Linked DNA regions of Oryzias latipes. The protein of the gene in region 1 binds, or shares a complex with, the protein of each later gene. Links are inferred from orthologs where the notes say so. Each region holds a gene or a part of one and is shown in the gene's direction. Other genes may lie near its edges. The genes, in order: taf6, taf12, taf11, tbp, taf8 and taf5.

What was found.
Region 2: taf6 (region 1) and taf12 share a complex: the UniProt entries of both Homo sapiens proteins name them as parts of the TFIID basal transcription factor complex. The link is inferred for Oryzias latipes from reciprocal best matches to the Homo sapiens genes TAF6 and TAF12.
Region 3: taf6 (region 1) and taf11 share a complex: the UniProt entries of both Homo sapiens proteins name them as parts of the TFIID basal transcription factor complex. The link is inferred for Oryzias latipes from reciprocal best matches to the Homo sapiens genes TAF6 and TAF11.
Region 4: taf6 (region 1) and tbp share a complex: the UniProt entries of both Homo sapiens proteins name them as parts of the TFIID basal transcription factor complex. The link is inferred for Oryzias latipes from reciprocal best matches to the Homo sapiens genes TAF6 and TBP.
Region 5: taf6 (region 1) and taf8 share a complex: the UniProt entries of both Homo sapiens proteins name them as parts of the TFIID basal transcription factor complex. The link is inferred for Oryzias latipes from reciprocal best matches to the Homo sapiens genes TAF6 and TAF8.
Region 6: taf6 (region 1) and taf5 share a complex: the UniProt entries of both Homo sapiens proteins name them as parts of the TFIID basal transcription factor complex. The link is inferred for Oryzias latipes from reciprocal best matches to the Homo sapiens genes TAF6 and TAF5.

What each region holds. Positions count from the first base shown.
Region 1 is NC_019872.2:15,547,452-15,552,574, forward strand, and holds the start of taf6 (transcription initiation factor TFIID subunit 6), read left to right. Parts: upstream 1-1,958; 5' UTR 1,959-2,161; intron 2,162-3,685; 5' UTR 3,686-3,687; coding exon 3,688-3,843; intron 3,844-3,914; coding exon 3,915-4,001; intron 4,002-4,099; coding exon 4,100-4,253; intron 4,254-4,350; coding exon 4,351-4,407; intron 4,408-4,497; coding exon 4,498-4,617; intron 4,618-4,723; coding exon 4,724-4,845; intron 4,846-4,974; coding exon 4,975-5,052; intron 5,053-5,123. Other genes in the region: mrps31 (28S ribosomal protein S31, mitochondrial), read right to left, coding at 1-1, 84-236, 414-830, 1,565-1,662. UniProt on the Homo sapiens protein: The TFIID basal transcription factor complex plays a major role in the initiation of RNA polymerase II (Pol II)-dependent transcription.
Region 2 is NC_019874.2:22,542,236-22,547,324, forward strand, and holds taf12 (transcription initiation factor TFIID subunit 12), read left to right. Parts: upstream 1-1,690; 5' UTR 1,691-1,844; intron 1,845-2,359; 5' UTR 2,360-2,488; coding exon 2,489-2,566; intron 2,567-3,106; coding exon 3,107-3,184; intron 3,185-3,410; coding exon 3,411-3,525; intron 3,526-3,638; coding exon 3,639-3,727; intron 3,728-3,835; coding exon 3,836-3,871; 3' UTR 3,872-4,186; downstream 4,187-5,089. Other genes in the region: uncharacterized protein LOC101164588, read right to left, coding at 1-15. UniProt on the Homo sapiens protein: The TFIID basal transcription factor complex plays a major role in the initiation of RNA polymerase II (Pol II)-dependent transcription.
Region 3 is NC_019865.2:19,680,829-19,686,011, forward strand, and holds taf11 (transcription initiation factor TFIID subunit 11), read left to right. Parts: upstream 1-2,013; 5' UTR 2,014-2,401; coding exon 2,402-2,575; intron 2,576-3,454; coding exon 3,455-3,585; intron 3,586-3,681; coding exon 3,682-3,769; intron 3,770-3,852; coding exon 3,853-3,949; intron 3,950-4,049; coding exon 4,050-4,180; 3' UTR 4,181-4,328; downstream 4,329-5,183. Other genes in the region: anks1a (ankyrin repeat and SAM domain-containing protein 1A), read right to left, coding at 590-759. UniProt on the Homo sapiens protein: The TFIID basal transcription factor complex plays a major role in the initiation of RNA polymerase II (Pol II)-dependent transcription.
Region 4 is NC_019861.2:24,481,923-24,485,928, reverse strand, and holds the start of tbp (TATA-box-binding protein), read left to right. Parts: upstream 1-1,206; 5' UTR 1,207-1,309; intron 1,310-1,695; 5' UTR 1,696-1,870; coding exon 1,871-1,921; intron 1,922-2,345; coding exon 2,346-2,511; intron 2,512-2,630; coding exon 2,631-2,808; intron 2,809-3,042; coding exon 3,043-3,130; intron 3,131-3,353; coding exon 3,354-3,445; intron 3,446-4,006. Other genes in the region: psmc3 (26S protease regulatory subunit 6A), read right to left, coding at 1-34, 207-1,151. UniProt on the Homo sapiens protein: The TFIID basal transcription factor complex plays a major role in the initiation of RNA polymerase II (Pol II)-dependent transcription.
Region 5 is NC_019865.2:25,322,159-25,327,314, forward strand, and holds the start of taf8 (transcription initiation factor TFIID subunit 8), read left to right. Parts: upstream 1-1,724; 5' UTR 1,725-1,864; coding exon 1,865-1,912; intron 1,913-4,522; coding exon 4,523-4,682; intron 4,683-4,931; coding exon 4,932-5,030; intron 5,031-5,099; coding exon 5,100-5,156. UniProt on the Homo sapiens protein: The TFIID basal transcription factor complex plays a major role in the initiation of RNA polymerase II (Pol II)-dependent transcription.
Region 6 is NC_019859.2:29,660,857-29,666,057, forward strand, and holds the start of taf5 (transcription initiation factor TFIID subunit 5), read left to right. Parts: upstream 1-1,907; 5' UTR 1,908-2,051; coding exon 2,052-2,463; intron 2,464-3,376; coding exon 3,377-3,608; intron 3,609-3,683; coding exon 3,684-3,999; intron 4,000-4,075; coding exon 4,076-4,239; intron 4,240-4,746; coding exon 4,747-4,882; intron 4,883-4,958; coding exon 4,959-5,079; intron 5,080-5,167; coding exon 5,168-5,201. UniProt on the Homo sapiens protein: The TFIID basal transcription factor complex plays a major role in the initiation of RNA polymerase II (Pol II)-dependent transcription.

The sequences.
Region 1 (5,123 bases):
TCTGAAAAAAAAATAGCCATTCTAATGCTTATCAAGATTAAATCCTTCCGCCTCTTTCGTAATTCTTGTGAATTATTGCATACCCGATATTGTTCATGTCGCCTCTCTTCTGCGCCTCAGTGAGAGTCTTGCGCTCCCTCAGCTGCCTAAGGAGCTCCGACTCTGCCCGACTGCGGTTGGGAAGAGTGGCGGCGGCGGCAGATGCTGCAGCCACCAAGTCAGGGCTCAGAGTTTCACTAAAACAAATATATATAAACATTAACAAGTTCAGAAATCTTTTACATCACATGATCTTAATTTGGAATATTGACCAACAGAGTCTTTTGTAAGCAGGGACAAAAGTAAAATAAGTATCAGGTAAAAAGTAATAAGTATAAGTAACCAATGGAAATGGCTTTTGACTCTTCTCGTACCTCTGTGATGACGCCTCCTCTGTAGCCTTTTGAAACATACTGATGGTGCTTTCCATATCTGCTGGCTTGGACTTATACTGTGCAGCTGACTCAATACTTTGCTGTCTCTTCATAGTTTTAAGCTTTCTTTTATTGGTCACTTCTACTTTCATGGCTCCAAGTAGGTCCAGGAGGTTTTCTTTCTCACTCTTTCCTGTATCCACTTTAGGCTGTTGTGATTTTGCCAGAAGCTGTTTAGAGTTATCATCTGCCTGACGGTCTGCGGTCCCTCTGTCTTCAGTCTTTAACACGCGTTGCTCCTCCTTCTGTTCCGGCAGTTTCGTTTGGCTATCTATAGATGTGCCAGCATTGTCTTTTTTTTCACACAATCTGACTGAATTTGTGCAGAAAGTCTTCAATCCAACTTTGTTTAAGGTTCTGTAGAAATATAAATACCAAAGTGCAGTTAATGCATCTTAAAATAGGAATGACAGGAATGCATAAAAAATCAAATATGATGGAATGTTAGCATACTTTTCTACTTTACATTAGAAATATTTGTTATGGTGAATCACTTCACACGTACAATCATAGCTATAAAGAACTCTTCTCCAACTTAAGGATGGGAAAAGGATTTGAGCTTATTGTGAAGCCACTTGTATCTCAGAAACATTGATATAATTTTGTCACCAGAAACAAAATTTTTCAAAAGTCAAATATGAGTTCAATGGTCTTTTGAAAATTGGTCTTTTGAAAATTGACAACAATTTGGGTTAGATCTAGGACTTGATACGGGGAGATTTGAAAAGCTGCAAGCTAAAAATAAGTCATTTTTGGACACTTATGACATGTGGGCTTTCGTTTGAAAAGATAATGTTTGGTTACAGTTCTAATTCAATTTTGGTTATTATAAATACAAAAAAGCACAGCATGTCGTTTAGCATTTAAATAAAGTAGTGGTTTTGAATTCAAACAAATTTAAGTCTAGAATTTCACACAGTCCGGCAAGTTAAAACACAAATGTCCTTCCGGGGATCGAAAAAGCCAAGAAATAAGAAGCAACATAATCAGTTTTTTAAGGGTCAAGATTTTCTTTTAACACAAGTATTACCACATTTGTTGTGGCTCAACGATATCATGCTATTATTATCGGGAGTACTCCTATTCCTCACCTGAAAACATTATCACAGTTACTTGATAAAAAGGACTCGTGAACGTACAGTACACGATTTCGTGCCACAATCGTTGTCCGGGATATAAATTGGTTCATATTTGTTTCTTGAAATGTCCTTTCACGTTTGGAGCTTTCATCCGTGGTAACGAGAAAAAGTCACCCGGAAAACATTACTCCAAACACTAGTTCCGTATGAACGTTAATTCGAGCAAAAGCTATCTTGCTAGAAAATTTGATTTTCATAATTTTGCCATTTTAAGCTATGAGCGTCACATTAATTAAAATGTACAAATGTAAAACGTGTTTCAATAATAAGATACCTATTTTAAAATAACAAGTCTCCTGATTGTTGTGTCCACAACTCTCGCGATATTTCGTCCGCAACGTGACTCAAAATGGCGATGGAACATTAGCGCTAATTTACAGACGGATGGCTCTGCTTCAGCCAGGAAATAAGTTTTGTTATTTACATTGAGAAATGGGGATTTGCAAGGAAAAAACGGGGTTACGCTATTGTCAGTGTTGTAAATACTGATAGTGTTCATTTGTGGAAATCCTGGCCATAACTCAGAAGAGGAAGGACAACTTCTTACAGGTATAAACGTCAAAAAGAAGCTAAGTTGTTAGCATATAAGCTAACTTGCATTAAATTTAGCGCTCGTTTGTAAATGCACATCTTAAACAATGTGCAGCTGACAGTGATCCTAAAATTGGAAGAACTTTTATTTACTTTTAACTGCAATTGCGTTTAGGAAATCCCCCGTTTTAGTTCCGTCGGGGGGTTAACCCGCTCTCTGTGGAGGAGCGGTCTGTTTGTGTTTGTAATGTATGAAATCATTTTTATGAACCGATTATCATTTTAGCCGATTGGCCTTTTTCTTGTTGCTTTTTAGGTGAGAGATAACTCTTAACACGAATGAACCTTGTGAGACGGTACATAAGAATCGGGACATCTGTTTTATCCAAATAGTGAAGACCGCCTTTAGCTTACTCATTTGAACATCGAGTTCTTAGCAGCATTGATTGTTCAACGTCTGACACAAAAAAGTAACCGGACCTTCAAAACTACGTCTAAACGCATAGCTATTTGAGTATTTTTTACTTTTTCGTAGCCCGATTATATTTTTGGCTTTTGGCGCTAATGTCTGTGTTCTACTAGGGGATCATTGAGATCTTTGACAGCGTTAAAGATACAGTCACGGGAATAATAATAATGTGCTTCAATCATCATTGATTTTCGATGTCATTTCCAAAGAGTGTATTTCAAAGCACTTGAATTGACTATTTTTGAAATATTTCATCAGACAGGTCCCCCAATACATATTTTAGCAGTTTTGTTTACAGTGAGGCGTTTAAATTAAAAAGAAAATAATAGAAAGTAATAAACAACAAAACGTTCAAAAAGCGCAACTCATATTTGGCTAGAAAAAACAAAGATCACACATTTTAAGTGAAACTGCGTTTTAAAGATAATAGATATAGATGCTTATTATTGAAAAGCTTTAAATTAAAGCAATTACAACAAACAAAATAAAGACTTATTGAATTAATTGTAATAATTTCGGCAGATATGTTTATCAAAACGATTGATCCAGTTGTGGGGGGTTTTGGGGATTGAAAAAAAATGTTTTTTGGTCAAATATGTCTTGTTTTCTCTCAAGTGCCATCAAATACCACCGGGGTTCTCATAACCTTGCTAGAAAACTACTTTTCTACATACCATACTTGACACAGATATTCTCACTTCCTGCAGTCTTTCTTTCTTTTTTGGTTTCTTGTTTCACTGTAGGAAACTTTTATTACTGTGGTTTAACTTGCAGTTTATACAGTTCTTTGACTGTTAGCATGCTGGATGCTCACAACACTAGTCTTTCTAGGCTAAAGTAAAGGTGTGATGTTTTCATTAAATGAAGATAAGGTCCACGAACATATTTCCTTCTTTTTTCTTTTTCTTCGAGATATAAAATTTTTTTTTCCTAGTGTCTCATTTATAACAAATAATGCCGTAACAATAAGATGGAGAATGAAAAATATAATTTTAGACTTCTATAAGCTCCAGTTTGTGTCTGGTTTCAGTTTACAATGAAACTTTTTGTATGGCCCTGCTTTGTGTTGACAGCCATGGCGGAGGAGCGTCGGCAGAAGCAGTGCTCGGTCACCCTTCCCACCGAGTCCATGAAGGCCATGGCAGAGTCTGTTGGGGTGGGGCAGTTACAAGAGGAAAGCTGCGTCGCCCTGAGTGAGGAGGTCAGCTACAGAATCAAAGAAATCGCGCAGGTAAGAGCTCTGATGGTTTATGGAATATGTGAAGCCGCATACAATCCCTTATTCTGTCTCTTTTTGCACAGGATGCTTTGAAATTCATGCATCATGGGAAAAGACGTAAATTAACTACCAGTGATATAGATAATGCCCTCAAGCTGAAAAATGTGGAGGTAAGGTTTAAATATTTTGGAACACATCCATATTTATCAAGTTTTGGGAAACCCTGTTTGTTTTATATTCTGTGCTCTAATTAAAGTCTCTTTTATAGCCTCTGTATGGATTCCAGTCTCAGGAGTTCATTCCTTTTCGCTTTGCAAGTGGTGGAGGGAGAGAGCTTCACTTTTATGAAGAAAAGGAGGTCGACCTCAGTGACATTATTAACACACCCCTCCCCAGAGTTCCACTAGATGTCTCTCTCAAAGGTAGAGCGACCGTTACAACCTTTTAAAATCACAGTTTTTAATCTTTTAAACGATTTATCTGAAAGTTCATGGTTTGTTCTCTTTTGGAAACTCACAGCCCACTGGTTAAGTATTGAAGGAGTTCAACCCTCAATTCCAGAAAATCCCCCTCCAGGTTCGTCCTGTTCTAACCGTCTCCCCCAAAGGAAATTGAATGCTTTAAGGACAAAAATGACAACCTTTTATGTTGTTTACACTTTTTTAGCAACAAAAGAACAACAAAAGACAGAGTCCACGGAACCCCTTAAAGTGGTCAAACCAGGTCAGGAGGAGGAAGGGGCGATTCAAGGCAAAGGTCAGGGTGCAACAGCTCCTGACGGCAAAGGTCGGTATCAATTATTTCATTTTGTTCCAATTTTTCTTTTTGCTTCTCTTCACCAATAAGAAAGGGTTAATAATTTGGGTTATTCCTGTTTTAACGTGTGTTTCAGGAAAAGAGAAAGGTTCGATCAGGTTGAAACCACGCAGCACTCATGAGCTGTCTGTAGAACAGCAGCTGTACTACAAGGAGATCACAGAAGCCTGTGTTGGCTCCTGTGAGGCAAAGCGAGCAGTAAGTCCTGCAGATGTTGGTATAGATGTTTTATAGTAAAAGCAAAAAAGCTCCAATATTCCCCCATACTGGTAAAATGTTACCTCAGCTTGATGATTCATGGGACTTTTTCTTTATGTGTTCACACAGGAAGCTTTGCAGAGTATAGCCACTGATCCAGGACTGTATCAGATGCTTCCAAGATTCAGCACATTTATATCTGAAGGAGTGAGCGTGTTTCCAAACTCTCCCAGATTTCAATGTGTTTCTAAAGCACCAACTGTGTCATAACTTGGTAC
Region 2 (5,089 bases), on another chromosome or scaffold:
AAGAAAAGATCTCATTGTTGCAGAAAGAAAGACTAACTTAAATACTTGAGAAAACGTCGAGAAGTCTTCAAGCAGCGACTAAAGTGAAATGAAAGCGTCCTGCGTTTTTATCTGACGCGCTGTAGGTGTGGCTTTCGTTTGGTGTCCAAAAGCCCCCAAACTTTTCTGTCAATTTCACTTTAAAAATGAAAAGAAAGAAGTAAGATTTGTTTTTGTTTTTTTTTATTTTTTATAAGCGTTATCGTTGTTTTTAGATTTAATGACAGAGTTTTGCTGATGGATGTTGACATGGGAAATGACTGTGTGAACCAGAAACGCAGCTGTCCACTCTCTGCTCCAATAATCACGACTGCTCTCTGCGCGTCACGCGTCGCTCAGGGAACCAAACCACTTCTGTTTTAACCTGAGCTTTGCGGGTGTGTTTTTTTTTCTTTCCTTCCTCATAAGAGCCATCATGAAAAAAATGTGTTAACGATGTTTCTCACACTTTTTGGTGCGATGTGGAAAACCTATCAAGCCAACATTTCACGCTTTATTTTATTTCACTGCTCACGGGGGATAAAAAAAATTGTTTTTAGTGTAATCTTAGTTGTTTTTTTTTTAATTAAGACCTTCAGTTATATTAAAATGAAAAAGGGAAAAAAAGAAAAGGGAAAACTCGTTTACATCTAACAAAGACAATGCCTACGATGGCGTATGCTACATCATCTTGCATTATAAAAAAGTTTGTTTAAAAATATATTTCCAATAAAACAACAGCATGGCGTGAAAATAAACACTGAGATGTGAAAGTATACAGAGTATTGAGACGTAAAGAAAATCATAAATATTGGCAACCAGACCAATCTAGATTAATCGATTTGTTTTCCTGTGATTCAACCAGATCGATCTGTCTAAAGCAAATTGGTAAACGAATTGACATCTACCTTTATCAAATTGTTTCTAATAGTCATAGACAACAGACAACACACATGTAATGGCAGCAAAAAATGATCGAGCCGTCATTACAGTCCAATGCTTTGAAACATTTTTCATTTTTTGCAAAGAATTTTGTGACCATAGTAGAATGGTAGAATGTTCTAATATTGTTCAGATTATTTTATTTTGATGTGGAAAAACAGACGTGGGCTGAACTTTATGAAACTAAATTTTGACTGTAGATTTACTATTAATTGTTGTTTACGTGTTTGTTTGTTTGTTTGTTTGTTTGTTTGTTTGTTTGTTTGTTTGTTTGTTTGTTTGTTTGTTTGTTTGTGCACATATTTAATTTACATTTGATTATCTTGCAAGAAATACAACAAGGAATCTGTTCAGTACCGAGTCACACTGGCTGTTTTTTTTTGCTCAATTTTAGGTCAGTGAATTGGATGAAATTGGATGTTTCAAAATGAACCGATATCAACTTTGAATCCTATTAGCAACCACAAATTATGATACAGATCAAATCGTTTTTTAAAATGAATCGTAACACCCTTAATATTTATTATGTTTCCTATCAAAAACTTAAAAAATAACCCACAATCTTTTATAAAGCAACTGAATGACAGGCCATCTAAAAAACAAGCGTTCTCGTTTATTGTATTTATATATTTTATTTTCCGTGCTTCTCCACAGAGGCCGATTTTGTTCACGTGTTATTGAAGTGCCACACACAGTCCGACAGGGGGCAGCGTAGCGTGGACACGGTTCTACCGGAAACAGAATCGGGCAAAAGCGGAAGTTCCGAATATTGCTCCCTGAATTCTGGAACGGTTGTTGCCTGTTCGTAGACAAATTTAGTGTCAAAGACGTACCTTTCCCTCGAAGTAATGACGAAAATGGACAGATAGTGTTAATTTAAAAAGGTGAGTCAATAAAAAGCTGCCACGACTTAGAATTTTGTTTGAGGAACGCCGAACTGAGAAATTAGCTGCTGAATTTAGCAAGGCTAACTTCAAAGCTTTGTAGCTGCTATTGTTTTTAGCACTAACAAATCTGTTAACGTTGGATTCTTATCTGTGTACTAAAGAATTTATGTAATAATGGCATTTGCTTACTTTGTTGTATTTTATTAAATTAGCCTAAAGCCCTTAAGACATCGTGTAGCGTTAAGCTAAGCGCTTTCTGCTGCGCGCGTTTTCCGGTCTCTGTTTTGGAGTAAATAATTAGGGGAAGCAGACATCAGATTTACTAGTTTAATTAAAACATACTTGCATTTTGTATTGGATGCAAACGCTAGTTTTTAGGCTTATTAAATGCTGCTTTAAGCTACATGCAGTTAACCGAAGTAAACTAAATTGGGAGGGAAATGTTTTTGGGAATGGATCATCTTTTTTTCCTAATTTCACTGAAATTTGTACTGTTTTTCTACAAATTTAAGGTTGTGGTTCCTTGAAAAAGCGGTGCTTTCGACTGCCACGCAGGATTTGGGAGAGCCTTACCCGGGCCACCAGCGTCTTGTAACTTAAAGAACTGCTTTGCGCTTCCTCCTTGACCTTGATCACTGAGAATGGCCAATAGCACCCCAATAATAGTGAAGAGCCTGCCTGCTGGTCCTGCAGGTAGAAGCAGCCCAGAAGGATCTCAGGTTGAGTATTTTTCAGTTTTGTATTTAGTATACAGTAAACCCTTGTTTTTCGCGGGGGTTACGTTCCAAAAAGAACCCGTGATAGGCAAAATCCGTGAAGTAGAAACCTTTGTTTTTTCTTACAATGAATTCATTCATTCATTCATTCATTCATTTTTTTGAATGAAGAACACAATGCACGATGCAAATCCGTGAAGTAGCGAAACCGTGAAAAGTAAACCGCGTTATAGCAAGGGATCACTGTAACCACTTTTATGTCCTTATATTTTTATATATAACTTTTGAAATGTATTCTATTTGAGATATTGTTTATATTTTATCTAATGTAAAACTGTTTCATCTATTTGTCTTTTTTTTGCAACAACTACCATGTACGCTTTTGAATTTGATGCTTTGTATTTTGTTTTATTTTTTTACCTGAAAATATTTCTATTGTGTGACTGCAGCTAACAGCTACTTCGGGATACTGTTTAATTGTGAAACACAAACCTTACACTCACATGTGTAAGTGTTACACTTTCTCTTTCCTCTTGTCTTCAGGTCCTCTCTAAGAAGAAACTGCAGGACCTGGTGAGAGAAATTGACCCAAATGAGCAACTGGATGAGGATGTTGAAGAGGTCAGATTAAAAAAATATTGTAACCTCTTATAAAGACTATTAAAAGACATGCCTGTTGTATACCTTATTTAATATTTTCAATGCTTACGTCCGTCCAGCATTTCAAACTGTTACGTAGAAAACATGGATTTTTGTTACATTCATAAATCAGAACATATCTTTATTTGTGTGTAAAATCTTACTTTGTTGAGTTCCTTTGAGGCCTTCATATGTTTTTTCTTCTCAGATGCTTCTACAAATTGCAGATGACTTCATAGAAAGTGTTGTGACAGCAGCCTGTCAGCTGGCACGCCATCGCAAATCAAACACGTTGGAGGTTAAAGACGTTCAGTTACATCTAGGTATGTTTTTTACAGGCTAAATGCCCTTTTATTTTGTACTTTTTGTTTGATAAATATTTAGTGGAAACTAAGGGATTTTTGTCTTATTGTTGTGTTGTTTTTATGTATTTTAGAGCGTCAATGGAACATGTGGATTCCTGGTTATGGCTCTGATGAAATTCGACCGTATAAGAAGGCTTGCACCACAGAAGCTCATAAACAGGTAAACGATAGAGTAATTTTTCTGTTTGTGAAGTCATATTATTGCCGTAATTGTTAATTTTAGTTCCCTTTTCTTGAGTCTAATGCTCCCCATGTGTTTCTTTTTCAGAGAATGGCACTGATCCGCAAGACGACTAAAAAATAAAAGGGCAAGCCCTTAGGTTGAACCCAATTTGTATATTTTCAAATTTTTAACTTTTCTTTTATGCAATTGTTTTCATTTCCACTTGAGTTTGTCATTTTATTTTATTGACAGTAGAAAGCGTTTTGATGAGGTCGTCTGTCTTTGACATTAAATATCGCTCAATTGTAACGTCTCCCTGAATTTGAGTGTGTGGAGTCATTGCACAATGTTAGTACTTTGGTGTGTGTTTTTTTTTTTCCCACTAAACAGACTGGTAGAATTTCATTGTAAGTCTTGTCAATAAACACTTGCTGGAAGAATTCTTATGAATGGCGACCATTGCTGCTCCTCAGTTTTTTTTTAAATCCTTTTCAACATATTGATGTACACTTGGCCAAATCTGAAACGCATCTAAAATGACTTTGGCGTAGCTATTTTGCAAGTGTAACAAAGTGTGCTTTGAATTTTTTTTACTGTTTATACAAAAAGTTTAGCAGTAAACGGCGCATTGTTGCCAAAATAAATTTACCCGTGGTGTTAAAAAATAACAAATGAACTTAAGTGCATGGCGTCCCTAATGTTTTAACTAATAAGCTGTATTTTTAATCTCCTTGACGACTTTAATTTAGCACCGACATGAAAGCAAAACCATAAGAAATTTTTAAAAAATAGTTTGAAATAAATTCAGGCGTCAAGGGGTGAAAGACTTAAAAATGACAAGCCACAACATTAAAAACACATAAAATGGTTAACCTTTTTCCTCAGCCTGGTACTAAGGAACATTCAGATCGGTTAGATTTAGCCAAAAATACATTAAAGGTTGGGAAAGCATGAAATATTTATTGAAATTTTAAGTAAAATTATCATAGAATCCAGTAGTTTTCAAAACGTTTTTCCTAATACTTGACAAGAAAGGTTTCTATTTAAGTCTAAAGAGCAAGAATGAAATTATTGTTAGACCATGTCAAATACTCATGAGCCTTTACTTTTGTGCTATCCTAGGCACTTTAACATTGGGAATTGGGTCATCTAGACCCCAAAAGACTGCGCTGAACTTTTTTCTTCAATGATTTGTGATCTCTAATGGATTACATGAAATCCTCTCCACCTTTATCCACCTTTGTCATGGTAGGAAGAACACGTCAATGGTCATTTTGACCCCATAGGATAGCACAAGTGTTACGTTATATGTCTACAACAGTCTTCATTTTCAGCACCAGCAACAAACAAAAATGTTTA
Region 3 (5,183 bases), on another chromosome or scaffold:
TGAGGAGGAAAAAAAAGACTGCTGACCTCAAAGGATTAACTCAATCTCACCAGCATTTGCACACCAAGAACACTCCAGATGTGAATCACCACAAACAAAATGTTTACACCTCATTGATGTCTTCCCCCTGTGACCATAGCCGAAGATCAAACCCTTCCGGCTTCCGTTGACACACCTGGACACAGTGTGGGGTTTCCTTTGGGTTGTGGATAAAGTACTCCCAATAGAAAAAGAAAAAAAAATGTGGGTTTTTTTTTCCTCCTTTGAGTTTTTCAGCCACCACAAAGCAGGTCCAGCAGAATCTATGAATCTCTGACACATGAAACCGGTTTTTTTTCTTCCAAAGAGATGTGGTGTGTTTTTGTTCCAGCTTTTTAAAGATAACTTACATAAATAAAAGCTGCGCGTGCACGTGCCAACAGAAACTGGCAGAAAAATACCAGAGCTGAGTCTGAGCTAACAAAGAAGCTGCTACGTACCGCGCTGCTTTTGGTTGACTAATCCAAAAAATATATGAATAACATCCTCGCCGTTAATGTTTGGCTAGGCAAGAAGAGACAATGCCGTCTCTCGGTTCCCCGCTGCGTACCTGAGCAGGCTGGAGAGCGGGTGAGAGGAGGCACCGTGGCCGCCGCTGTTGGCGCTTCCACCGGTCCCGGACAATCCGCCAGCGGTTTGTCGCTTCCCGGACAAAAGCTTCTCCACCGCCGCCAGGTTTCCCGTACGCGCCGCATCCAGAAGCTCCTGCTCTTTCCCCATTGCTGCTACCAGACGGGGGGAGAAAAAAAAAAAACAGGAGGTGCGGGGAGGAGAAGGAGGGGGGTTGCTTGTAGTAAAATTCCTCTGTGACCCTCTTCTTCTTCTCCCAACCTCAAGTTATTCCTGAGAGCTACTATGCGGCAGGGAACAAAAGCTCCCTCCAACCAGCGGCTCCTTCTGTCCCTCTCCCCGGTGCTGCTGGCGCTCAACGGGCAAAAGTTTCAGTCAGCAGCACGGCACCAACCACCGAGCAAACTTCCTCTGACCAGTCCTCCAAGCGTCGTCCGTCACTTCCTTGAAACTGCCCTTTCTTTCTGCATCTCCAATCCAAAGCTCTTCAGTCAGACACACTCAGATTCCCTACCACCGCCGCCCTTCGCAGATTAATAAAACATATGGACGGGGAAAAGCAACATGGCGCTTGGCAGGATTCTATGAGGACATTGGAGATTGTTTTATTGTTCCGTTACCCCAGTTGGTTTGAAAATCGAGAGCTAATTTTCTAACCGGATAGTGTGCAAATCGCTTACTTTTCAATGAAAAGAAATAGCAATGTGTATATATGAATACATTTAAATGAAATAGACAAATATGTAACCTAATATTTTTTGTTCAAATGAAAATACGACCTTTTCACTACTTTACATTTTTGGAAAATGTCTATTTATTAAAAAAGAAAATTTTTTTAACACTTCACTATTTTTTCAGCTGACCATACAAAATCAAAAACATCATGTTTCCTGTCACATTGTTATTTTAATGTATTGCAATATTTTGTGGAGTTAAAAAAAATTACAGGGACACACGAGTAAGATAAACTATGTTAGAGGTTGCATTGTAAATGATAAATGAACAGCTACAATTATGTAAAATGTAATAATTGTAAGTATTATTTTCTTGACAATATTTGTTGTTGTATTTCCTGCGTAACTTTAGCACAGAGTTTGTTTTTTTTTAACCGTGACAAGGTGGCGTAAAAAAACAATGTTTTGTATGTTCTATTGGTCTTAAAATATTCTAGTTTGGTTTCGTTTTTGCAATTTTCTTCTATTTTGTGTTGAGTTTATACATATATATATATATAGAGAGAGAGAGAGAGAGAGAGAGAGAGAGAGAGAGAGAGAGAGAGAGAGAGAGAGAGAGAGCAATTTGACACATTTTTCATGGACAGTACTAACTTCAACACATTTTGACATAAAAAAAGAAACATTTAACGCCTTGTTAATAAAGTTTATTCAAAACGGAAACGGAAGCACTTGGGTTTTTTTAGGCTATTATTCGATGGTAGATGTTTACCAGGAAAGCTAGCTTATCTTCTTTAGTTTTTTGCCTTTCTATGTAGTACTTATAGTTATTTATCCATTGTTTATGTAGACCTTTTTTCTTTTTGACATAATTACCGGTGTGTGTCGTTTAAGGACCGTAGACTACATTAGTGCACTATAACAGCTAACTATTAGCTGCTAGTGTTGCGGCAAAGGGCTTTGTTGTTGACGTCTCTAGCTAGCTGTAGAGGAACGTGCATGAGATACGCAGTTTTCATCCAGAATTTATTCAAATACGCCGGCTACACAGCTGAAACTAAAGTCTCGTAATAGCTTCTTCGTTGGTGTTTGCAGACTGCTGTTTAGAAACTTAGGTTATGGCAGACCCTGCACGGATAAAGCCGGCAGAAGACAAGTCTGAGAAGGCAGCAGCATCCAAAGGGGAGCCGTGTAAAGAGACGAACATAAAAAATGAAGCCATCGCAAAAGAATCTGCAGACGAAAAGAAAGAGTTGTCCGCACAAGATCCATCCACAAGGGAGGTGAAACATGTGAGTAGAAATGACTGTGTTCAAAAATCCTTTGTGGAAGAAAAAAAATCTAAGCAAAATCTAGATGAGTGGAGAATTATTTAGGTTGTTAGCAGTACAATTGAGGAGAAAGTTACAGTCTAATGCATAGATCTATGGAAGTTTGACATAGACATACAACCAATTCTGGACCAAATCTGTTATCAAAAATTGGGGGGAAACTGATGTAATAAACAATCCACAATATTAATGGTTGTTTAAATATGATACTCGTGTTTTGGTTTTGTGCAGAGAAAAAGAACTTGGTACAATATGTCTTTATTTTCATTTAGAACATTATAGTAATTTTGGAGTCAAATATGTTTGATGCATATTTGAATTAATGGGCTTCAAGGGGTTGAACATTGATTTCCAAGACAATTAAATTGGGACCCAAGGTAAATAACTAGATAAGCCTGAAGAAAAATGTACAAAATCCTGAGTATTTATTAACAATGTTCAAGCAAAATATTTTCATTGAGGAAGTATTTAACTTATGTATTATTTTTATTGTATATACAAAATAAAACTGACTCTTTCTTAGCTTTGACATGCAGTTCATTTTTTAATTATAAAATAACTTTTGATTGACTAAATTTGGTTGAAAAATAAACCCTTCATACTTGATCACATTGGTCTACCATTGCTTTTTTTAAATCCAAGTCTTCTTTTGTTGGGTATGTTAGAGTGTAGCAAACTTACATGTAACGAGCTTCACTTACATCCTCACATTGTATTCTAAATAATTGTGCATTGAACAAACACAACATTAAAAATGGGAAGAAGTACTAAAAATTTAGGAAGGGAAATCCATTAAAGTGTAAGAAGACTTTAATCATGATGGGTTTTTTTTCTGAAAAGGAAGCTGCACCTGGAGATGATGAAGAAGAGGGAACCTCCGGTCAGCCTCCTGCAAAAAGGCTAAAGGTGGAGCCGGATAAGAAAAAGGAGAAAAGGCAGAAAGTTGACGAAGATGAAATACAAAAGATGCAGTAAGACTGCCGTTTTTATTTTTTCCTGAAATATTCCATGGTGCTGTCATCTTTATTAATTTCACCCCGTTTCTTGTTCTTCCTGGATTCTTTTAGAGTTTTGGTGTCTTCTTTTTCTGAAGAGCAACTAAATCGCTATGAAATGTACAGACGCTCTGCCTTCCCCAAGGCGGCCATCAAGAGGGTGAGCTGTCTACAAAAACTAATTCTTTTTCCTCCCAAAAACGTTCTTCTGTCATTCTTGTGGCTTTTTTGGTCGACCTCCAGCTGATCCAGTCAATCACAGGATCGTCAGTTTCCCAGAATGTGGTCATAGCAATGTCTGGTATTGCCAAGGTTTTTGCTGGAGAAATTGTCGAGGAAGGTGAGTGTTTAAGGCAACAAATAGTTTCTAGTATTATGCAGCTTCTATCCATTTTCCTGGAAGCTTAACATTTTTGCGTCTTTTGTTTTTCGATTCACAGCGCTTGATGTTTGTGAGAAGTGGGGGGACACGCCTCCGCTTCAGCCCAAGCACATGAGGGAGGCCGTCCGAAGGCTGAAGAGCAGAGATCAGATTCCCAACACAAAGTATAAGCACATTCTGTTTCACTGAGACCGTTGACCTGTGGGTTAAATGAGGATGCAGGTGATTAAAACAGCCTCAAGAGCCTCTTGTCAAACTCCAGCCACAGAGGCAGGCGGACATTCTTTTTCCAAGGACTAGTTTTTTTGTGTAAATAAAGATTTTACTCTCAAATTTTTTTTGGTACGATTTGGGTTTTAATTTTAAAAAAAAATCCTATGTGGACATAAGCAAAATTGATATTTCAGACGTTTTCTTAGTGTATTAGAGGTTCATGTTTATAAAAGGTTTGATATTATGAAAGGATCTTATAGCATTTACTTTGTTGTTGAATTGGTCATATTTTTTAGGTCTTGTGTTTACGGTCAAATCTGGGTTCAGTCCCCGTCTGAAAAGGAAGTTTCTTCCTTGCTCATCAACTCTTTCCCAATTTTGAGAAAATCAAACGTTTGGCTTTGTTATTTTGGAACATAAAACGTCTTCAATGTGATATTACTTAAGTGCTCACAGAAACATTGACTACCTCTTTGGTATAAACTCACTCGGTGAACAGCAAATCTTTTCTACTGGAAAGAAAAAAACACAGCAACATCAAACTGTGTTCAACAGTTTATTTTTTTACACTTAAAATCTTTACAGCACACTGATTTTGGTTCACAGAACCAGTTAAAGTTTAGTCTCAATGGAAGTGATTCTACCCATAGAAAAGTCAATGTGATTATTTTCTTTTTCTTTTTTAAACCAGCTGACAAAAATACTGTGTACAACATCTGAGTCATCTGATTTTCAAACAAGTGCAGTTTCCAGTGAATTGCACTCACACAGTACAAACACCTCAGTATATGCATGTGCAGTTTGATGGAGGAAACACCACCTTGCATTGAGTCACTGTTCACCTCCTCCTTGCATGGCACAGAAGGGTGGGTTAGGCTGCAGGAGGAGGAGGAAGAGGAGGAGGAGGAGGCCCTCCTGGAGTGCAAAAAACAAAACCAAACCCCTTTAGTGTAACATGCTATGGGTCTAAACCAAAAGC
Region 4 (4,006 bases), on another chromosome or scaffold:
CCAGGATGTCCACTCTGTTGGTGGCAGCAATCACCTATGAAGGATTTACAAGAGCACTGTGGTCAGACCTGGAGCACAACATTATTAGAGTGCATGCTAAAGTTTAAATGTAAAATTTAGCAACCATTTTAAAAGATTAAAGAATATAATGCTGTAACTAATTACAATTAGTTTTACACAAATGTTTACATGGAAAGCATCTTTACCTTGACCTGCATGTTGGGCTGAAAACCGTCCAGCTGGTTGAGCAGCTCCAGCATGGTCCTCTGCACCTCTCGATCTCCAGCCTTCTCGCTGTCGAACCTCTTCGTTCCAATAGCATCCAGTTCATCGATGAAGATGATGGACGGAGCTTTCTCTTTAGCCAAAGCGAAGGCATCTCTGACCAGCTTGGCGCCATCTCCAATGAACATCTGTACCAACTGCGGACCTGCCAGCTTTAGGAAGGTAGCTTTGGTCTGAGCAGCACAGGCCCTGGCCAGGAGGGTTTTTCCTGTACCAGGTGGGCCGTACATGAGAACCCCTTTGGGTGGCTGGATGCCCAGGTTCTCAAACTTCTCCTTGTGGTTCATAGGCAAGACTATAGCCTCCACCAGCTCCTGGATCTGCTTATCAAGGCCGCCTATGTCGCTGTACTGCTCAGTGGGACGCTCATCCACCTCCATGGCTTTAACTCTGGAGTCGTACTCTGTGGGCAGGGTCTCCAGGATCAGGTAGGAGTCTTTGTTGACCCCAACAAGATCTCCAGGTTTCAGCTTCTCGGCGTCCACCAGCCCGATCACCGGCAGGAAGTATGTCTGCCGGGTGGAGGTTTTAATGACAGCGCACTTTCCTTTTCTCTGGGAATCCAAATCCACATTTGCCCCATCTTCCTCTTGGTCGTTGGGATCCACATCCAGCAGCTCAATCACGTTCGAAACCAAGTACGGCAGAGTTTTGTTCACCTTTATCTTCTCCGTGTTTTCTTTGATTTTATCCTTCATGGCCTGGAGCTCATGAGTCACCCGAAGCACTTCGCTCTTCATGATCTTTATCTCGCTGTCGAGGAGACGAGTGCGCTGGACTATCTCCTCTGTGGACATTTTTAACACTTCTTCTCCGATTCCATCTTCCACCTCGTCCCAAACTGATTTGTCACTCAGCGACGCCATCTTTGCTCTGTCTGACTGCGCGCTGTGACACGCCGGAAGTTAAAGCTTCTTCTTCCGGAAGGAGCCAAGCATTTTCTTCCCAGACTGAGCGTTAGATAAAACAAGCTAAGCTCGCATTATCTTGTTTTTGTGGTCACTTCAGCTCCAAAACGATACCAGTAAGTTGCCTTTCATTAACAGGCTTTTCTTTCAACACATATAGTTTAGTTTTCAACTTTTTTTAACGCGGCAAACGCTTTACGCCACAGAAAAGGGTTTGTATCCCTATGTGTATGCTAGCTTACTTTAGCTATGCAGCTAACTTCAGCTAGCCGGTGTGTTTAATTTGAAGGCTGTCAGATGTGCTACGAGAGAACTGATCGTCTATAGACAAGAATTAATGATTTAAAAAAAAGCATTTGAAAGGCCACACAATGAGGTTCACGGTAACTGCAGACCTCGTGACTCAGAATATTATGTTTCTTTTATGTTCGCGCTCTTATTTCTGTTCTAGTTTTGCTAACTTCTCTTCTGTGTACACACACACACATCTTCTGTTTTTCAGCGTTCTGGACTCAGCATTGTGGAAAAAAACAGGGGAGATTGTGAAGTCTATTTTTATTCTAGTGGTCTTTTTCTACGTACATAGAGCCCTCTCAATTCAAGGCACCTGCTGCGAAAGTGGATTGGACAACTGCCTAATAGTGGTTGGCAGTGTTGGAACGGGAGAAGCACAAAACATGGACCAAAACAACAGCATCCAAGCCTTTCAAGGCCTGGCTTCACCTCCGGTATTAATCTCCGCTTTGGTTTCTTCAAAATGGTTTTCATAAAACAAACATTTCACAAATATAATATTTCTAATTACATGATCGGGTCATCACAAAATATTGAGAAAAATATTGATAAGTTCTCAATTTCAACTTATTACATATGTTTTGGTTAGTTTTGAATATGAGTTACTTTTATTTAAATTTGATATATTTATTTTCAAGATATTTATGACTGAAATATAAATTTCATTAAGGAAATCATGATTCTTTTATTTTGTATTTCTGTATTGTATCTACGATTACATTTAATCAGAGCATGATTTCCGGTTGCTTCAGAAAGTCATACTGCAGGTCATATTTTGCATTACTGTAAATACTGAGCTTTTAAAAAAAAAAAAAACTTTCTTCTAATTTAACAACGTGGTGGTATTGTATTATGCAGGGTGTGATGACCCCAACCATGCCAGTGTTCAGTCCCATGATGCCGTACGGCTCGGGCCTCACGCCCCAGCCAGTACAAAACACAAACAGTTTGTCCATACTGGAGGAGCAGCAGAGGCAACAGCAACAACAACAGCAGCAGCAACAAACACAGCAGTTGAACACAGGTAAAACAAACTTTTTATTCATATTCTTTTCTCTTATGTTGAGGTGAATCTAAAAATGTATTTAATTTACTGGATTTGTGTTTTTTTACTAAGAAAAGATAATTGGTATTGTCTCATAGGTCTTCCAGGAGCATCAGGACAGACTCCACAGCTCTTTCATTCTCAGCCAGTACCAGGTTCAACTACCACTGCGCTACCGGGGAACACCCCGCTCTACAGCGCTCCGGTGACGCCTATGACCCCCATCGCTCCAGCAACACCTGCCTCAGAGAGCTCTGGCATCGTACCACAGCTACAGTACGTTGCATACGATTCACAGAGAGATGAGAACATTGACTAATACTGCATACCCATTTACAAATTTAACTTTTTGGGTTATACATGAAAAAGGAAATTGAATTTATTTTAAAAATGGATACATTTAAAGAAAATTCGTTTTAAATGTTTTATTGTTCTAAATGTTTTTTTACACAACTAAATGCAATGTTTTTATTAAAATAACGTTGTCCCATTTGTTTTTTTTGCCACTAGAAACATAGTTTCTACTGTAAATCTGGGTTGTAAATTGGACCTGAAGACTATTGCCTTAAGAGCCAGGAATGCTGAATACAACCCAAAGGTAATCCCAAACTGATCATCTTTTCATGTTTTTTTAACTGTTAGCTTTGATTTGTAAGCAAGTAAGGCAAATGAATTTATTTACTTTGGGCCATCATCCGTCTAAACCTTAAACAAAACAGGCCTTATATTTCCAAAATACGGCTACGTTTGTAAAGTTAGAAAGCTCTACAACTGAAGTGGGAAAAACATTGTAATGTTGCCGTTACTATGCCACCTTCCAGCGTTTTGCTGCAGTCATTATGAGAATACGAGAACCAAGAACTACAGCTCTCATCTTCAGCTCTGGGAAGATGGTCTGCACTGGAGCCAAAAGGTAAGAGTGGGACTTGTTTTTTAGCTTTATATGATTTAAAATGTTTTGCAAAATGTACTATTTGATGTCAAATTTGATGTCAAATTATTTCTAATGATAAATCCAGCAGTCAAAAATTTAGACAGACTTGCCCATTGATATTAATGAATGACTTAGTCCAGGGGTCGGCAACCTGGGGCTCCGGAGCCGCATGCGGCTCTTTCATCCCTGTGCTGCAGCTTTATGGCTCTATGTGGTTTTCCTAGACTAAAACAACCCATTTCTGCGTAAAATTAATTACATTTGCGTTAGGGCGCCCCTACATCCTGTCAACTTGCTGGTATGATGACCGTATGTTGCGCTGTCTGTGTAGAACACGCTGAGGGGGGGGGCTGTAGGCGGGGGAAAACAACTTGGAGTTGCAGAGGAACATGTAGAGAGACGGGGGCGGGGCTTAGACTCACCGCTTATGATTCCAGACCCGCAACAAACTAAGAGGTGCTTCCTAATAAAAAATAGTTGTCATGCATGAAATGGATATACTTTATTGGGTTTACTGAATTTATTGAGAAAAAAATAAAA
Region 5 (5,156 bases), on another chromosome or scaffold:
GTACACTAAAATAGACTATTATTTCTGAGGGAAATCAAGTTGTGTTTACATTCAAATAAAAAAAATTGCACAGCCTAGAAGTGATGTACACATGTTGGATTTCTGAATCACGGTTTGTCCTAATGCCATATTTGGACCAAACTGATGTAAAAATTATGCACATTTTCTGAGATATTCTAACATTTTCAATTGCCCTATATTTCCACTCTAAAAAAATTCCATAGGCGCATTGGGAACATTGTGGATTATTACAAGTCATAAACACATCCAGCATGAGTCATGGGTTCTGGCACGTTGTTATATGTTTATTGGATCTGTTGGGCAACAAATGATGTCACATACTCACTATAAGGAAAAAAACTGTCTCACTCCTTGTCCCACAAACTCCTGCACTTTAACCCAAAACAAGTGGTAATCTATAAAAAACAGAACAGTACACTCATGAATATGCATGAGTGTCCTCCACTGTGGGGGTTGGCTTCTTTCTGCTGTCCTTAAATTGAGATGTCTGCCCAAGTGTACAATGATTGTCCTCAATACACAGAGAAAAGTGAACTCTTTGGCATCCCCTTTAAGGTGAGCCCTGGCAAAAAAAGGACTTTGATTCCATATGAAGTTAAAAAACTGACCAAAATGTTCCTTTTTCTTTCTGCAGAGCCATCATGGAAAACAGTGGAGACATTGTACCATTTATGAAGGAGGTTCTGAAGGAGGGGCCCAGCAGGAACATGGTGAAGATCTACGCGCTGGGCTCTGCTCTGACCCTGCTGGGAATGGTCGGCGGAATGGTGGAAATGATTCTCCTGCCCTTTTCTGGGGACAGCCCTGCTGATGGCAAACAGACTGCTGAGCTTTTCATGGACAAGAAGAGAAGGGAGAGGCTGCTGCTGAAATCCCACCATGTCCAGATCCCCACTGAAGCTGAGGACATACTGAGCGTGGTGGTGCCTGAGGTCAAGCCCAAACATCTGGGCATGGTCACAAGGAGAAGCTCGGCCACTCGCCTGCATGCTTCCTAAAAAGACTTTCTCACTTTAACGGAAATGGACAATGGCAGACCTTTTTATTTTTATGAATTTCTAATTTATTTTAGTTTTGGTAAAAATGTTTTCTGCCCCTTTTTTTAACAGAATGTCAGATGTGGTGATACACTAAAAACTGCAGGACACAGTGACCTCAGGCTGCTGGGCAGCAGATTCTAATATGGATCAAATACCATGGGAAGGAAAGGGGAATTGTGCAATTCAATTTATTGTGTGTTTTAATAAAAATGGTGTTGTGCTAACCACTGGTACTCAGATTATAGGAAAATAGTGTCTACTTAAAGAGGCACATTTGCTGCTCCTGCACTGAAAAATCGTGAGAAATTGAACAAAACTTTTTTCTTTTAGTCTTGCTTTGATGGCATCAAGTATTTGGTGATTGAGGTACTTAATAGATGTCTGTGCAACAAGCCTGAATTAAAATGGGTTTTTTAATTGAAAATCACAATATTTTCTCTCTTTATTTTTTCAATTTTTTGGAAAAAAATATAACATTTATTCAGGATAACTTAACACTTTCAAAAAAAAAGTCAGATATTTGAATGCATTTTATGTTGTTTTTGTCATGAAGCCGTTTCTTTTCTTCCATCTGCCAGTGGATAAAAATGACAATGTAAACAATCGCAGTACTGTAGACGGACGTTAGGGGGCAGTGTCGGCTAAACTCAAGACATTCACAATCGTTTCCGTCTGAATGACGGAAGTGTCGTCATACATGGACAACTTATTTACTAGCGGTGGCTTATCGTGTCTAAGCGAATAAATCTGTTTAATTTAAAAAATTCACACCTAAAAAGGAGACATTTTTGAAGTTATTTCCAATGGCAGATCCCGCCGTGACGCCGGGAGGCGCGTTAAACTCCAGCGGGGTAAGAAAAGCGTTTGTGTTTGTCGTAAATGCTGCAGGTTTGCATCGGAAAGCTTGCTAGCAGCCACATCTGGATGCGGAAAGGTTTCATCGTTGATTTTGGGTTAAATGGCAACAAGTACGATTATACTCCACTTTGTTTTGAACGACTAGCTGAGCTAGCTTTAGTGTTTTTGTGCAACATGCTCTGTAAATGATTCTCTTCATGTTGAGACTATTGTTTCGGACGGAGTATATCTATGCTAACTAAGCCGACTATTCTTGATGATGAGGTTTTTAGTTTTCTGAACCTCCTGAAGGTTGCAACTCTCTTTAATACCTCCGAGCCCTCCTGGACTCTTTAGTACTGCCCTAACAGCAATTCAAAATATAAATTCACCCTTATTTATAGAGCGCTTTTCCTGCTACAGAACACCTCGATGTGCTTTATACAAAGAAAAAAATGTATAATGGTAATCATTAACATAAATTGCATGGTGGCGCAGTGGTTAGGACTCTTGCGCCCTGGTTCAAGTCCCGGCTGTGGGAACCTGAAACAGAACGGGACCTTTCTGCTTGGAGTTCGCATGTTCTCCCCGTCCATGAGTGGGTTTTCTCCGGGGACTCCAGCTTCCTCCTGGCGACCTGTGCAGGATGTTCCCTACCTTCGCCAACGAGTGGCCGGGATGGGCTCTGTAGCCCCGTGACTCCGAAAGGGTCTTAACGGGTTTAGAAGATGAAATGAAATTAGCATTAACATAATAAATATTGATTAACACATACACAATCTACAAGTCTCCAAAATAAAAAATAAAATATGAGGAAATGTACCAAACTCCTTGGAAAGCTACACAGATAAGTTTTGAGTTCTGTCTTAAGCCTCTACATTGGATGAAGCCCTCACATCCACAGTGCTGAAATGTGGCCTCGCTTTCTGTTCTGACCTTTGGGACCATCAGCAGACCTGCACCTAAGGTCTCTGAGAGGGTCATCAACTAAAAGCAGTTCTGATTAAAACTGAAGTTCCATTTTTTTATTAGCATGAGACTTGTAGAAACTAACAAAAGAACCTTAAAATGGATCTTTATGCTCCCTGGGAGCCAGTGCAAGATTTCAACATTTCAGTAATGTGCTCCTTCTTTCTGACTCTGCTTAAGAGGTGCACAGTTGAGTTTAGAACAAGCTGCAGCCAATAAAGATAAAGATAATCTATTTTAGATGTTAAAAAAGTGTGGATTCATATTTCAGTGCTGGCTTTGGAGAGAAAGGGTCTCACTCAGACAATATTTCTAAGATGAAAAAATGCAGTCTGCATCAAAAATCCCACCAAGATTTCTGAGTTTATAAGTAATGGGTTTATAAGGAAAAATGGACCCTCTCTTCTCAGCTTCAGGGCCAAGATTTAAGAAATGTCTGTTTTGTCTGTATTGAGCTTTAAGAAAGTTCTCTCCAATCCAAGTTTCAACATCTAAAAAACAACTTAAAAGGTCATCAGTGGGTCCCAAGTCATCAAGTGTCTCCTGATGACATCACCAAGTTGAAGCATGTACAGGTTAAAAAGTGTAGAACCAAGGACGGAGCCTTGTGGCATCCCACATGTCAGTCTGTGTTATGACGCATCATTTACATCAACATTAAAATCTCTTCCTGTGAAATGAAATTCAAAACGTCTGGAGACCGTTTCAGTGATAACATCTGCATAAGTATTTCTTAGGAACTGTAAACACAAGCAGCTGCTGCAGATTTTTTTCATTGTTGTGTTTATGATAAACGAACAAGTTTTACTTTAGATTTGAGCTGCTGTTTTGTAGACACTACAGAGGAAGGAAACTGACACGTCACACAGTGAAGATATGTGCAGGGCGCTGAAAGCTAGGCTGAAAGGAACATTGGTGAGCAACAGTATGGTTTCATGCAAAGGCTGAGAACCACAGATCCAACATTTGCTTTTAGGACGCTTCTGGAGAGGAACAGAGAAGGTCAGAAGGAGCTGCATTGTGTCTTTGTAGATCTAGAGAAAATGTATGACAGAAAACAGAGAAAGGAGCTGCGGTCTGGATGAGGAGTCTGGAGGAACAGAAGAACGTTGGAATTATGCAGGATATGGATGAGAGCTGGAAGACGTTGGTAAAAAATGTTCTGTAGGCACGACAGAGGAGTTCAAGGTGGAGGTGGGACTGCACCAGGGATCATCTTCGAGCACCCTCTTGTTTCCATGGTGATGGACAGTCTTGACGGATGAGGTTGGACAGGAATCTGTGTGGATCATGATGTTTGCAGATGACATTATGATCTATAGTGAGAGGTAGCAGGCGGAGGTTTCCTCTGGAAATGAGATGAATGAAGGAGCGGAATTCGAGTGGAACAGGGAGTAAAGGTGGAGGACTTTAAGTTCTTTGGGTCAAACAGTCCAGATCAACAGAGAGTGTGGGAAGGAAACGAAGAGCTCCCTCTTCATCTCTTCCCCTTGGAACCTCCCATTCCAAGGAGGTTAAGACAGGTGAAGGAAGGTTTCAGGTGTGACAAGATTGTTAGCAAGAACGAAAGGAAAGGTGTATAAGTCTGTGTTATGATCGAATAGATATCTTTGTCTTGCATCTAAATAGTCTGCATACTTTTTTTTTTCTTTTAGCGAGGGTCTGGAGCCAAAGCAGCTTCAAGCCCTGCAGAGAACTACCACCTGGCCCGGCGCCGCACCCTGCAGGTCGTGGTCAGCGCCCTGCTGACTGAGAGCGGCTTTGACAGCGCTGAAAAGGCGGCGGTGGAGACGCTCACAGAGATGATGCAGAGCTGTATGTAACAGTCCTGAACTGGAACGTTTAAAGCCAAAGAAAAATCGGTTCCATTTGATTCCTTCATTTCTGTACTTTTATCATGAATTTTCCCTTTAGAATGTTTTAAGGTGACTTTTGTATTTTTGTCACAAACTGATTTTAAATGTGACTCAGTTAGGCCTTTACTGTTGACTATTCATATACATTAAAAATGTTCTCCTGATGAGTCACTGCTTTATTAAGTAAAAAATGAGGATTTTTTTCTAGACATCACAGAGATCGGTCGGTGTGCCAAGGCCTACTGTGAGCACACAGCCAGAAGCGTCCCCACCCTGTCAGACGCGGTGCTGACTCTCATTGAAATGGGTAAGATGACGGGCTGCTCTCCCTCACCCCTGTTAGAGCCGCCATTGACGGAGCTTCAATCGTTTTCAGGTTTCAATGTGGACACGCTGCCGGTTTACGCCAAACGGTCGCAGAGGATGGTCATAA
Region 6 (5,201 bases), on another chromosome or scaffold:
GTTGTGTCGTTCCCTATTTTCATCTCTCCTCTCTCTCCTGTATCTAGATAAATTCTCCTTACTTTGACTTCTCACAAAGGTTTTAGCCAATATTTCAGCTTTGTCCGCATTCATTATTGCCAAGTCATTACCCATCTTTAATACTGGGTATTGTTACTCCCTACTTATCCCTTCATTTTTCTAATAATTCCCCAAACTGCACTAACCGGTGTAGTTCAACCAATTATTTCACAAAAAAAACTCCAATACTCTCTTTTCACCTTTTTAATATCTCTTCTCACTTGCGTCCAAAGTCTCTTGTAGTTCAACAGGTTCTCATAGGTGTGCGTCTGTCTTAAGAGTTTCAAACCCTTATTTCGATTTTTAACTGCCGTCTTGCAATCTTCAGTTCACCATGGTATATTTCTCCTTGTCATAGTAGCTTTGCTCTTTAGAATTGTCCGTTTTGCTGCTGCAATTATTACATTTTCCACTTTTTCTTTCAAATTCTATAGAAATATTGTCCATACTGATGTTTGAGTGTTCCTCCTCACATATATGAGTAAATTCACACCCCAATTTGCTTTATGAAAAAGCCACCTGCCTTCCCTTTCATTAATTGATGGTTCTCTATCCCCACCAACCCTAGAGAAAAGAGGATAATGGTCACTCCCCATGTGCTGTCATGTAAAGCCCACTAACAACACCCTGCCAATACATTCCAAACACAAGTGAGATCTAGTGCTGACATGTTCCCTGTTTGTTCATCTATCCTTGTCCCTCCCCAATCAATGAGACAGACCAAGTATAAATCATCCATCATGTCCTCCAGTACCTCACCATTAGCATCTGTCACCTTCCCCCCCCATAAAGTGCTATTTGCATTAAATCCCCAGATAAGAAGACATGCCCATTTTTCCTTTGAGTTTTTCGTTTATTTTAAGGTTTTTGCTCTGATCGCTTATTTCCCTCTGACTTTTATTTGATCTTTATGTTTTCACTTTTATCCCTCTTTTCATTTGACTATTTTGTTTATGCTCTTGTTGCTTTCTTCTCTTTGGTTTTTCTGTTCTTTATGTTTGTGCTCTGATTGCTTTTTTCCCTTTGAATTATCCGTTGATCTTTCTCTGTTGATCTTTATGCTTTTACTTTGATCCCTTTTGTATTTTTTTCGTTTATCTTTGTGTTTTTTCTTTGATAGCTGTTTAGTTTAGTTTTGCTTTGATTGCTTTTTTAACCGTTGACTCTCTTTGAGCTCTATGTTTTTGCTTTGATCCATCTTTTCCGATTGAATTTCCCTTTTGATCTTTATATTCTTGCTTAGATTAAAATTTTCAGTTGATCTTTTTGTTCTTAATCTGAACGCTTTTTTCTCTTTTTTACTTTTCCTGGGATCTTAATAGTTTTGCTTTGATTGCTTTTTTACCCCATTTGTTTCTTTCTTTGATTTTCATGTTTTCGCTTTGATTCGTTTTTTTTTGTTTGTTTATTCTTTAATCTTTTATATAATTATTTAAAGTTAATTTCAATCACAGAGACAAAAAAAACTAGTTTGATCAGAGGAATTTACCCATTTTAATAAAAAATATTAACAACATTGTAATATCAGCTCAACAAAGGCTGTGTCATCTGATGATCTCATGAGCACAAAAGTAGGAAATTATTAAAACGTTTAGGACCTCAAATGTATTACTTCTAACTAGACCACTATTTTATTTTATTTTGTTTCCTTGTATGGATGTATCATTTTGTGTATTTCTTAAAAAAATGTAGTCTTGAAGAAAAAAATTTGCTCAAGTTTTTATCATATACAGTTCTATCAATTTTGGCCTTAAAAATTGTTTTGATTTTTTTCTAAATCATAGACACAGTTTGAATGATAAAATGTCAATAAAGGTTTATTTAAAAAAAAAAAAACAAGACAAAAAAAAAACCCGGAACCGCACGAGCCGTCCAGGAGGGGGCCGGGCTTCTCACACACATGTCACTCTGAGAACCAATCAGATTTGCTTATCTTGCGCAGTCAGTTCTTCTCGTTTTTCAACCTCGCACATGCGCACTTCATTCTGAAAATGGCGGCCGTGCAGGGTGGAATGGTCGACGAGAAAGAAGAAGTCGACATAAAAACCGAACCGCAGAGCGACGGGCTCATGAACACAAATGCGACCGACGGGCGACAGCTCTCTCCGTCCCCGAGCTCCAGCAGCTCGGCTGGGAGCACCAAAAGTGCGGCTGGGGCGCCGGAGGACCAGCAGACGCTGCTGGCGGTTCTACAGTTCCTGAGAAAGAACAAGCTGACGGAGTCCGTTGAAATTCTGCGGCGTGAGGCGGGACTGCCCGAGGATGCGCTGGACACAAAGGGGGCGGACTGCAGTGCGCCCAGCTCGGGCGGCACCGCTGGCGGCGTGGACGGCCTGGATGCGGGCTCTCTGCTCAGCCGGGTGGCCGTGTCTTCCTCCGCTGGAACTCCGGCGCCGACCAAAGGTATGACGCTCCAAGCGGGACTCAGCCCGTCCACCGGAACTTTGTTCGCTCCTCATAAAGCGCGCGCAACAGTTGTAAAAGAATCGAAAAGACACGTTTAGAAGCTGCAAAAAGAACGTAAATTACACACACTGACAAACAAATGTGGACAAAACTTGATCGCAACATACGTCCCGGGGAAGCAGAGAGGTGGTCAAACTGAGAATCCAAATTAACAAGAACACAAACTAAAACCATGAATCTTTTTAAGTAATAAATATAAATAAGTCTAAATACTTTATACAAATATTTGTGTCTGTCACTGTTCGTTTTGGTCTACAGCTGACCTGATACAGTTTAGTGTTGCACACAAATAATCAGATCAATTGAGGTGATCAGGATCACACACACAGCAGAATATCCTGTGATGAAGTGCTTTAACAAGGTTCACACTTCTCAGTCATCTGACAACTTCCAGCATTTTCACACATTTGATTTTGTCTGTTTTTTACATTCAGAGATGTGGCTACTCAGAAGACAGGACAAAGCCTCATTGTTATTTAATGATAAATAAATGAAGATGGCAAAAGCAGATTTAGCAGATTGAAGAGCTCCAACTTTGAGACTATAGATGGGATTCATTAGATTCCAGAAAACCTGAAGTCTTTATGCACACATGATGTCAACAAACCCTGAGAATGGACTGTAAACCAGGTGATCGTTTTCCTGAAATATGTCAGAGTTGCTATCAGGTAAACGGGTTTGATTCTTAGACATCACCTTCAATTTCAATCCCAGTTTAGATGAGTTCATCCTGGCTTTACCGTTGAAACCAGGTAAGCTGCAGATCCAGCAACAGGTCCATAGTTGAAGGGTCTGTGAGTCTTTCTGGGCTGCTTCGCGGTGGGGGTTCATCACCTCTGGATTCTCTCAGCAGCAGTCGCAGACGATCAGCCCGACGTCAGTGTGGTGCTGTCAGCCTACAGCCAGCAGGGAGACCCGGCTCTCTACAAAGTTTACTACAGCGACCTGAAGAAGTTCATCGAGTCGGTGTTGGACTGCCACCGGGCAGAGCTGTCGCAGGTCTTCTACCCGCTCTTTGTCCACATGTACCTGGAGCTGGTGTACAACAATCATGAGAGTGAAGCCAAGGCCTTCTTTGAAAAGTAAGTCCCTTTAAGGTTTACGTTAAAAAAGTACGCCCTGCTCCGCGCGCCTTCTCGTCACGGCCTCGTCCGCAGGTTCAGCGGGGATCAGGAGTGCTACTACGAAGACGACCTCCGGGTTTTATCCAGCCTCACCAAGAAAGAGCACATGAGAGGCAACGAGACGCTGCTGGACTTCCGCACCAGCAAGTTCGTCCTGCGCATCTCCCGTGACTCCTACCAGCTGCTGAAGAGGCACCTGCAGGAGCGCCAGAACAATCAGATCTGGAACATCATCCAGGAGCACCTGTACATCGACATCTTCGACGGCATGCCCCGCAGCAAGAGCCAGATAGACGCCATGTCAGGCAGCTTAGCAGGAGAGGCCAAGCGGGAGGCCAACAAAGCCAAGGTGAGGGAAGTTCCCGACAGATTTAGCACGTTCCTCTGTAATCCCGTGAGAACAATGCCATCTGTTCTGGCTGCAGGTTTATTATGGGCTGCTGAAAGAACCAGAGATTGAAGTGCCCCTGGATGATGAAGATGAAGAGGCGGAGAACGAAGAGGGCAAGCCGAAGAAGAAGAAGCCAAAGAAGGACAGCATGGGTTCCAAGAGCAAGAAGCAAGATCCCAACGCTCCGTTGCAGAACAGGTGAGGTTCTGCGGTCAGCAGAGCAGAGCTTCTGCATCTTCAGGAGCTTCCGCCACAGGCAGGCTCTTCCTCTTTCTGTGGGAGAGCAGCTTTAACGTTTCCCAGGACGTTTCATCTGCTTCTGGATTATTCTGGTTTGTGTTTGGATGGCTTTAGTTTCTAGAAAAGCCCCGTCAGCTCCGTCCCCCTCTTACTGCTCACGGTGGGGCAAATAAGCTGCTGTTGAGGCGGGAATCCGTCTGAATGGCAGGTGTTACAGGACAGAGCTTAGAAAGTCTGAAAACATCAGTGAAAGCGGGGCTTTTGAGCTCTGAGGGCTTGTTTGGTTCACCTGCAGAGTTTCCCCTGTAGACAGTCTGTCACATGTGCACGTGTCCTGGCTGGACGATGTCACAGCTCCTAAACCGAAAACATTTCTGAAACATCCGTTTGTGCTTATTAGATTTCCAGAGTTTTCTTGCAGTCATTTCCTTTGAAAGTCTTGAGTAATCAACTTTTCATGGTCAGGATACCTCTGCCAGAACTGAAGGACTCTGACAAGCTGGACAAAATCATGTACATGAAGGAATCCACAAAAAGAATCCGTCTGGGACGGGAGAACCTGCCCTCCATCTGCTTCTACACCTTCCTCAACGCGTACCAGGTAAGCGGCGCCCACCGGCCGTTGTCTGACGGCTGCCGGTTCTCGTTGAGCTTTAGACTCCGTTGGACTTGTTCAGGGTCTGACCGCGGTGGACTTCACGGACGACTCCAGCCTGATAGCAGGAGGCTTTGCCGACTCCACGGTTCGGGTGTGGAGTGTGACGCCAAAAAAGCTGCGCAAGGTCAAGTCTGCAGCAGGTGGGTGTTGGGCGCAAACACAGGACAACGCCAGCGGGTGAATCATGCCGATACTTAACGGTTCTTCTTTTTGTTTCACCCCCTCAAGACTTGAATTTGATTGACAAAGAGTCAGACGATGT